2 linked regions of the Schizosaccharomyces pombe genome follow. Changing the gene in region 2 together with the main gene of any one other region gives a genetic interaction. Each region holds a gene or a part of one and is shown on either strand. Other genes may lie near its edges.

Region 1 (4,144 bases), on a different chromosome or scaffold from region 2:
TGCATCTAAAGGTTGCTGATTAACAGCGGCACGTAATCGTTCTTGTAATACGCTTGGAGATAATTTTGCCCAAGCAGCAGTTGGTGGAAGAGCAGAACTCTCTTCGTGATGAAGAATAGTTGTTGCATGTCCAGGAACGACGTTTACAGAAGCAGCAGAAGAATAAGGGGCAGGAACGCTGGTAGCAGTGTTATTAGTGGATAAGGAAGGTGTCATTGACACTTGTGGATGAACATGATCAACTGTTGTAATATGCTGATTTTGTGCAGCTGGACTACTATTAGCCTCTTCTAACGGTGTTTTCGTAACAGGAAGTAGAGGTGTTTTGAATGGAAGAGAAGGAGAAGGAGAATGAGTAGCACCATTTACCACATTAGGTTTAGTGGAAAGAGGACGGGTATGTTGAAGAGATGCCAAGTCTTCTTTAGTATAACTATCCACCTCGTCACCGGGTTCATGTAAATACATGCAAGAAGGATTGGGGCATTGCTGATTCCGTAAATAAGAAGTGCAATATTTAGTGGTACCATAAGATGCGCGAAGATGTCGCCCATCACTTACGCTGCCATCAATTGCAGCAATCGCTCGTGCAGCATCTTCTTTTCTTTGGTATGTAATATAAACTCCAACATGACCATTTGCAGAATTTGCAGCAGCCTTCTTATTTATTGCAATTTTAATAATCTTTCCGTATTGACCAAAGTATTCAGGTCCCTTCAGAACGTTGATATTCTCCTCATTTGCAACTTTGGGAGAAAGGCCGTTTACATAGGCAAGGTTCTTTTGTACAACACGAATATTTGCAAGATGCTTCCTGTTTGAAAGCTCGACTTCCTTCCTCTCTTTCTCGCGTTTCTTCCTCTCGTTTTTTCGATGTAAGTCCATCTTCCATCTAAAAACATTAGCGACATGTTTAAAAATAAAAGTGAATTTAAACAAGATTATGCTTAAACAAGAATTCTATAATCTGAATTACATACTCCTCTGCCGTGACAGGCCGCCATTGAACATTTTCTTCAGTGTACAGACGGCGACATGCAGGACAACGGCCATTTAGATCTTCTTTGATATGGTGCCAGCAAAATCTACAAACTCTGTATCCGCATTGGCATGGTTTGAAGTTTTTATCAGAGATATCAATTTCTTCCATACATAGAGGACTGTTGCAATTGTCAGTTAATTTTGATACTAATCGGCTAGTAAAACATACCAACACATGTCATCCTCATCTTCTGAAGAATATATCTCTTGCGTTTTTAACATTTTGTGTGAAATATGTCAAATCTCCGTCACAGTGCTCTCCAAATCGATACTGTTTAAGGTCGCTCGTTATACAATACAGAGGAAGTCTTCAAATATCTTAAATCAAATCTTTGATTTTAATTTAATTTAGTTAATTCCCTTAATATTCATTAGACTTCAAACAAATATTTTTTAAAGGGCAAACCGAGTTGTGGTTGGTTATAAGTTTACTTACAACTTAGTGTAAAAGAAGGAGGCAATGACTAGGTGAGAGGTTGGATTTGAACAGTATATACCACACGAAAAATAGCAATTAATAGACATGAATTAAGAAATTTGAGAAAATTCTTATTCCAAAGGTTTTTGGAATTGTGTTTGAACAACAAAAAGTACCCTTAAAAGTTTCACCGTCTATAATTTCATCTTGATAATTAATTGCAGTAAACGTTTGTAAACGAATGTATTATATATACAACTTTTTCACGTTGTGGTCAAATTCTTTAGTTATTTCATCTTCTAAGTAATTAGTGAATATATTGAATTGACGAAAAAACGATGAACAACATAATAAGAGGCATAAAGTGCTTCTCTACTTAATTTACGCTCCATGTTCCATCAAATGGATAATAGTTTTTAACAAAATGTTCAAATATTTTACATATAGAAGGGAATTTATTCTTATGATAATCATTTATACTAAATGCTCCTCTCGAAAATCAGATATCTTTAAGTAGTTTTCTAAGTCTAATTGCAACGACGTTTGGCGTTCAAAGACTTGTTGTAACTTAGCATCTTCATAACAGCGTTGCTTCACTATAATATACTTACAACCTCGACCATTGTTCTTTTTTACGATAACCATTAATTTTACCTTTAATATTCCTTAAAACATTAAGGATAGTATTGATATTTCTAAGTGCTAACCGTCGCGTATTACATGTTGCTTTGCTCATAGCATGGGAAGTATCTAATGGCATCCTCTATAAACAATTCATCTCAACCTACAGTACCTTCAATTTCTAATAATAGTCATGGCGACTCTTTCGTAAATGAAGGTCCCCCTTCTAATTTTAAAAATAATTCTTTAACATCATCAACTCACTCTTCAACTGACCATGTAAATGTCTTGCCAATTAGCCAAGACAAAGAGATGGATATAAGTTCTCCAGTGAAAAAACAAAAAGCTAGTTATTCGAATAAATCTCCAAATAAAGCACCTATTCAAAAAAGCCGGGGTAGTTCCCTAAAAAGTCATCTCGAAACCGAATCTCAACAAACTCCTGTAAAGCGACGGAGACGAAAAGCGACTATACGCAACGTCGACTATTGTAGTGCATGCGGAGGAAGAGGTCTTTTTATTTGTTGCGAGGGATGTCCTTGCAGTTTCCATCTTTCATGCTTGGAACCTCCCTTGACTCCTGAAAATATTCCAGAAGGATCTTGGTTTTGTGTGACTTGCTCAATCAAATCGCATCACCCTCCTAAGCACCCTCTTAGTATATGGTCCCAGCTTTACGATTGGATTGATTCTCAGAATCCCTCGCAGTACCGATTGCCCGACGACCTTGTGCATTATTTCCATGGAATATCTCGTGGGGATACAGGTGCTTATAAGGAAACTGAAGGAGAAATGGATACTGACGAGTTTTCTGCTTTGCCGACTGGCTCCTCTATCACTAATCTAGCTTACTGTGGTTATTGCTCTAAGCCATCAATGGGTGCTTGTTGGGTCTATGGTTGCCAGCTGTGTGACACCTTCTATCATAAAAATTGTAAAGAGCATGCTAAAAAATGCTCTCATGACTCCATTGGAAAAAAAGGTATGAGAGTACCAAAAAACGCCGTGGTGATAAGGACGCCCTTGGTGTTGGATACAACTTCTAATACTCTTAATCCTAAAGTCATGATTTCAGGATGGCAATTTCTTATGGGAGAGTTTCCAAGTGATGAACTTCTCTATTTCCCAAGATTACCCGTGAGTTGTCTCTACAAAGTTTCAGAAGACGGTCTCATCAAAGATTTTTTGTACGCGATTGGCATAGAAGCTAAAAAGTTTAATAATGAAAGGAAAAAACGAGAGTTAGAGGTTATTCCTCCAGACGTAAAAAGCGCACTACTTCCTGCGAGAACGCACCCAAACCTACCTATTGCACTACGCACTTTATTCAATAAGGCACGCACTTGAATTTTTACGATATTTTTACATTTTGTATAAAATCAGACTACGTTAATCTAATCTGTCGTGTTCAAATCGTCAGAAAAGGTTGTTTTCTGTTATTTTTTTGCTAATGTTGTATTTATAAAACCTCTTAGAACTGGCTATCTGTTGTAATTGGCTTATTTTACATTACTTTTCTCCATTAAGGCTTTTAAAAAATTTTCGTTATGCAATTAATCATTGCAAATCCTTCCTAATAGGGCAAAAGTTCTATTTTATACTAACAACTTCTCAATACTTAAATTTTATACGCGTATTGTACCGTGTGAGTATATATAAGTATATATAAGTATATATAAGTATATATGAGTAAGATGCATTTACTAGACAAAGAGGAATAAAATAAAAGAAAGTGATAAGGAAAGGTTCTATTACTAAAGTCTATTTAACAGCCATATCAATGGTTTAAAACGCTTACAGACCAAACGGTCCATAAAACTTGAACACCAAAAATATCAACAAATAAAAGATATGTTGGCATTCGTAATTACAAGTAAGCAAATACTTATTAACTAGAACCTAGTAGGTTCGTCGAACTTGCTTTCATCATCACCAACCTGACTTCTAAAGTCTTCAAAGTCGGTAGCGTTGCTTTCTCTTCGTTTGTATTGAGCAAAGACATTCCATTCTTCAAGATACGAGGAAGAGTATAAGTTCGGAAGATTAGAAAACGAAGGTAACATG
Region 2 (4,687 bases):
AAAGCCTCGCACCGTTGATCTCTTCTAGGGTTTCAACGAATGATACAACTAATGTTGCCGGTATTCGAAGCCAAAGATCATTTACTACTCATATCGATTTGAAAAAGCTTACCACGAGGCAAAATGGCGCAAAAAAATCATCGTATACTGGAACTAATCCATGCGTCTTAAATTATTTAAATAAAATTTATGCAGAAGCAGCGGCTTCGACACTTAACGTTGGTGCTGCTGTTTCACCAAGCTGGGCTTCTAATATACCTTTGCGTCGTAGAACAAAGGTGTCTGCGAAGGCTGCGAATAAAATAGTTCAGACTCATGAATGGCATCCAGAAGGATCACGAGTTGCTCAGATATATTTAGGAAGCCTTCTTGATGGAGGTACGAAGAAAGTTTTGGTTAGTCCAGATTCATCTTTTTTCGTTACCTTGGGATCTGACGGTGTTGTAAGAGCATGGCAATTAGTTGAAAGTGTTCGTCATATTTCAACTATGAGATGTGAATGCCGATTAAGTTATGGGCATACGCGACGTAATGGCGAGAGGAATAGATTTTCTGTGGTCAATGGATGCTTTCTAGGTAATACATACGCTTTTGCTTCTGTTACTCAAGATGGCTCTGTGGAAGTTCACAGACTTGACGTTAACAATCAGCGGCATACTCTAATTTCGGCTGGTCGTATTCCCAATTTGGATTTCAGTGATTCTGTAACCTCCATGGAAGCTTCTACATTTCACGACGGGAGTATCCGTCTAGTCGTTGTTACAAAATGGTCACGCATCGTATACTTAGACGTGGGAATGATGAGGGTTTTGTCATCAGACCAATTACCATTACAGTGTGGGTCAGCTACTAGTGTAGTAGTTTCTGAGGGTTGTAATTGGGCTTTAATTGGGACTACCAAAGGATGGCTCTTACTTTGGGACCTCCGCTTTGGGACATTATCATGCTCTTGGCATATGCCAGCCAGGATTGATCAGATGCATCTTCTTTTAGATGTTACCAAAAAACGTAGCAACGTTAATGAGTATACTTCCGGAAATAACAATAGTCCCGTTACCAAGGTTCCAGGTAGCTCAAGTACAAGTTCAAGTAGTACTCAGCCAATTAACTCTACTATTCCCATCAATCCTTTAGAAAATCACGGAATGTTAAACTCGTTTGGAAGCACTACAGTCAGTATCAGTTTTAGCGTCCTTACCAACTTGGATAATAAAGAAGTTAATCTTGAAGATGCAGTTCCAGCGAGTCACAGATCCGCTTCAGGCATAGTAAATTTTGACGTTGAAAAAGGGAAAACCGAAGAGGTTTTCTTAGAAAACTGGAATTCTTCACTCACCAGTCCGATTCCGGTATCTGTTGGAATTGATGCTTTTAATGAAAAAAAAAAGTTTGATATAGATTCTGGCAATGACATGGGATTAAGAGATTTGAATACCAAATTCGACTCTCCTTGGCCTTGTATATCTAGTCCAATCTATAGGTACAGAGGTCCGTCTGCAGGTTCTGTCGAACGAGAGCCACTTTTTCTCATTGCCGCTTCTGGAAGCCCTCATGCGTTTATTTGGAATCCCCACAATGTCTCTGCTAGTTCGTCGGTGACCAACGACTCCGAGAGTTCAAAACTATCTTTAATACATAACAAACCTCCTATCTACCAAAAAGTCTCTGAACAACAGAATGTACGCCCAAAGTCTTCGGGAGTGTCAAGGCCTCTTCTATTCCTTCAACAGCAAAAGAATCTACCTAGCGAAAATCGTCTGCACCCCATCGTTGACATGGCCTTCTTGTACCAACCGTACGCTATAGTGCTTATTGTTGACGCTTTTGGTAGTCTTGAACTCTGGACCTAGTTTCTTTTAGTATTCCTCATATATTTATTAGATTTGTATGCATATTCTTTAATACCATAAATTCCATCTGATAGTCTTCAAATCTAACCGACTTGCATTCAAATAGTGAAATATAAGGCATCGTTAATCACTACAAGTGATGTACTGTAGTTTTTTCCACATCCCTTTTGCCAAACAGCTAAAAATTCAAGTTGCATGCTATAAGTCGCAAGGATGGACCGTCGACATCGTGTTTACCGTGTGTTTAACCAGGAGATGTATGTCGAGCCTAATTTTAAGGTATGAGATATTTGGGTAACTGCTGCATTTGCAAAACATTTTGTTTACTTGACAGAAAATCGCATCTGCTTGAACTTTTAGGAAAACTAACATAGTTTAGGTAGTGAAGGAGTTGGGTCAAGGCGCTTACGGCATTGTTTGTGCAGCAAGAAACGTGGCTAGCAAAGATCAAGAGGCTGTAGCCATAAAAAAAATTACGAATGTGTTTTCTAAATCCATTCTTACAAAAAGAGCTTTGAGAGAGATAAAACTGCTGATTCATTTTCGTAATCATCGTAACGTAAGTCTTTTATGCAAAAACGGCTTCCTGTGATTGATTACTCATCATCACCGGGATGTATTAACGAGGTGCATTTTGATGAAAATGCAAATTTTTATACAATGAAAAGTCTTCTATGAGAAATGAGTTCTAATCATCCTTGAAAAGTATTTCCTTTATAAATCTTGATATAATGTTTGGAATTCGGTTGATTAAAAAATTTGAACTGCTCATTGTCTTACATTTGCATAGTGATGTCTTTCCTATTTTTTATAAACTTTACTAACATGGTAGATTACTTGCATTTACGATCTCGACATTATAAATCCATACAATTTTAATGAAGTTTACATTTACGAAGAGTTGGTATGTTACGCGATGATCCACATATGGTGTCTGTTTTAGTCACGGAAATATTTGTATAATTACTTACTAACTATTATAATAGATGGAGGCCGATTTGAATGCTATTATTAAATCCGGTCAGCCATTAACGGATGCGCATTTTCAATCATTCATTTACCAGATACTTTGTGGTTTAAAGTATATTCATTCTGCCAACGTTATTCATCGTGACTTAAAGCCAGGTAATCTTTTAGTTAACGCTGATTGTGAGCTGAAAATTTGCGATTTTGGCCTCGCTCGCGGATGTTCTGAAAATCCAGAAGAAAATCCTGGTTTTATGACGGAGTATGTGGCAACGCGCTGGTACAGAGCTCCGGAAATTATGCTTTCGTTCAGCAGCTATCATAAAGGTATTGATGTTTGGAGTGTTGGTTGCATTTTGGCAGAGCTATTAGGTGGAACCCCTTTGTTTAAGGGAAAAGATTTTGTTCATCAGTTAAATTTAATTTTGCATCAACTTGGCACACCTGATGAGGAAACCCTGTCTCATATAAGCAGTTCCCGTGCACAGGAGTATGTTCGAAGCTTGCCAAAGCAAAGACCTATTCCTTTTGAAACCAATTTTCCTAAAGCCAATCCTTTGGCTCTTGACCTGCTTGCTAAGCTCTTGGCTTTCGACCCCAACAGACGTATTTCGGTTGACGATGCTTTAGAACATCCCTATTTAGCTGTTTGGCATGATCCCTCTGACGAACCTGTGTGTGATTCCGTCTTTGATTTCAGCTTTGAATACATTGAGGATGCAAATGAGTTACGCCGTGTCATTTTAGATGAAGTTTTAAACTTCCGTCAGAAAGTCCGACGCCGCTCTCATCCAACAAACCCAACAGTCAACATCCCGCAACCAGCCCAAACCGTTCCATCTAATGACAATGGTTCTTTCAATGTTAGTAGCTCTTCATCCTCTCAAACCTCTAACAAAAAGCGCCATGATCATTCTTATAATGAAACTGCTGCTATAGACCATAAGTCTGATGATAATCGCCATAACTAATACATTGGCAGCAGCTGGTTTTATTGAGCCTTTTTACGGTAACATTTGCATACAAATCATTCATTGCGTTTTCTCATTTTTACATAAATTAGCTATTGCTATCTTTTGAGCTTTGCTGGCTACTGTCGAATCTCTGTTTGCTCGTTTAATTTCCATAAAAAATACTCATTTGCATTAGTCCTTCATTTACTGTTTTGCATATAATATTTGGCGATCTTTGTGCTCCCTTTTCTTGCACGCTTTATAGTCTCACAGCTTGAAACATTTTGTTATACATACATGCATGCATATACACCCGTACTACAACTAGAAAAATATATAAATAGAACAGCTAATTACTTAAAAATATTACTTTTACTAGTGAACGAGTATATCTGTGGTAGAGTAATTTCCTTTATTAGGGAACATCCCAATGAAATCACAAAACTAACTAACCAAGACAAAATAGATGAATAAATACATCAGTCATGAATTTGTATCCTGCAACAATTAAACAACATTCGTGCACAAGGATAGCTCTCTTCAAGTAGAAGCGTCTTATAATGAAATGCAAAGCGGTCGAATATGAAATTATGTGCATATTTTTATAAATCAGAAAAAATATGTAAGATGATATTCGAGACGCGAATGAAGTTTTACAATAGAAAGGGAAAGCCTTTACAAATACCTGCAAAAAAGGTCGTACAGATTCCGTTGTTTTTTGGGAAAGCAAATCATGATGCGCAAATCCTATATAAAAGGAACAGTTTTTTTTAGGAGAAAATTTTGGCAATTGCCGCTATGGCATCCATTACTAGCAATGAAATAAAGCAGAAGGCGGGCGACCTTGATTCCAGTAAAGGCTAACGGGAAAAATAAAAGGGAAAAACGACGTCACAAATAAGTGAACAAAAAGTCATT

The links.
Region 1: mutations in pmk1 (region 2) and cph1 together harm fitness more than expected from each alone (negative genetic interaction), as found in Schizosaccharomyces pombe (2 studies listed by BioGRID).

Annotation. Positions count from the first base shown.
Region 1 is NC_003424.3:797,338-801,481, forward strand, and holds cph1 (Clr6 histone deacetylase-associated PHD protein-1 Cph1), read left to right. Parts: upstream 1-2,029; 5' UTR 2,030-2,212; coding exon 2,213-3,427; 3' UTR 3,428-3,644; downstream 3,645-4,144. Other genes in the region: CCR4-Not complex subunit Mot2, read right to left, coding at 1-892, 981-1,160, 1,211-1,263; ATP-dependent RNA helicase Upf1, read right to left, coding at 3,973-4,144.
Region 2 is NC_003423.3:728,797-733,483, forward strand, and holds pmk1 (MAP kinase Pmk1), read left to right. Parts: upstream 1-2,019; 5' UTR 2,020-2,063; coding exon 2,064-2,129; exon of another isoform or gene 2,130-2,229; coding exon 2,230-2,409; intron 2,410-2,682; coding exon 2,683-2,754; intron 2,755-2,836; coding exon 2,837-3,787; 3' UTR 3,788-4,156; downstream 4,157-4,687. Other genes in the region: serine/threonine protein kinase Vps15, read left to right, coding at 1-1,850. UniProt on the Schizosaccharomyces pombe protein: Regulates cell integrity and functions coordinately with the protein kinase C pathway (pck1 and pck2). Involved the regulation of wall architecture, cell shape, cytokinesis in exponential and stationary phase, and metabolism of ions.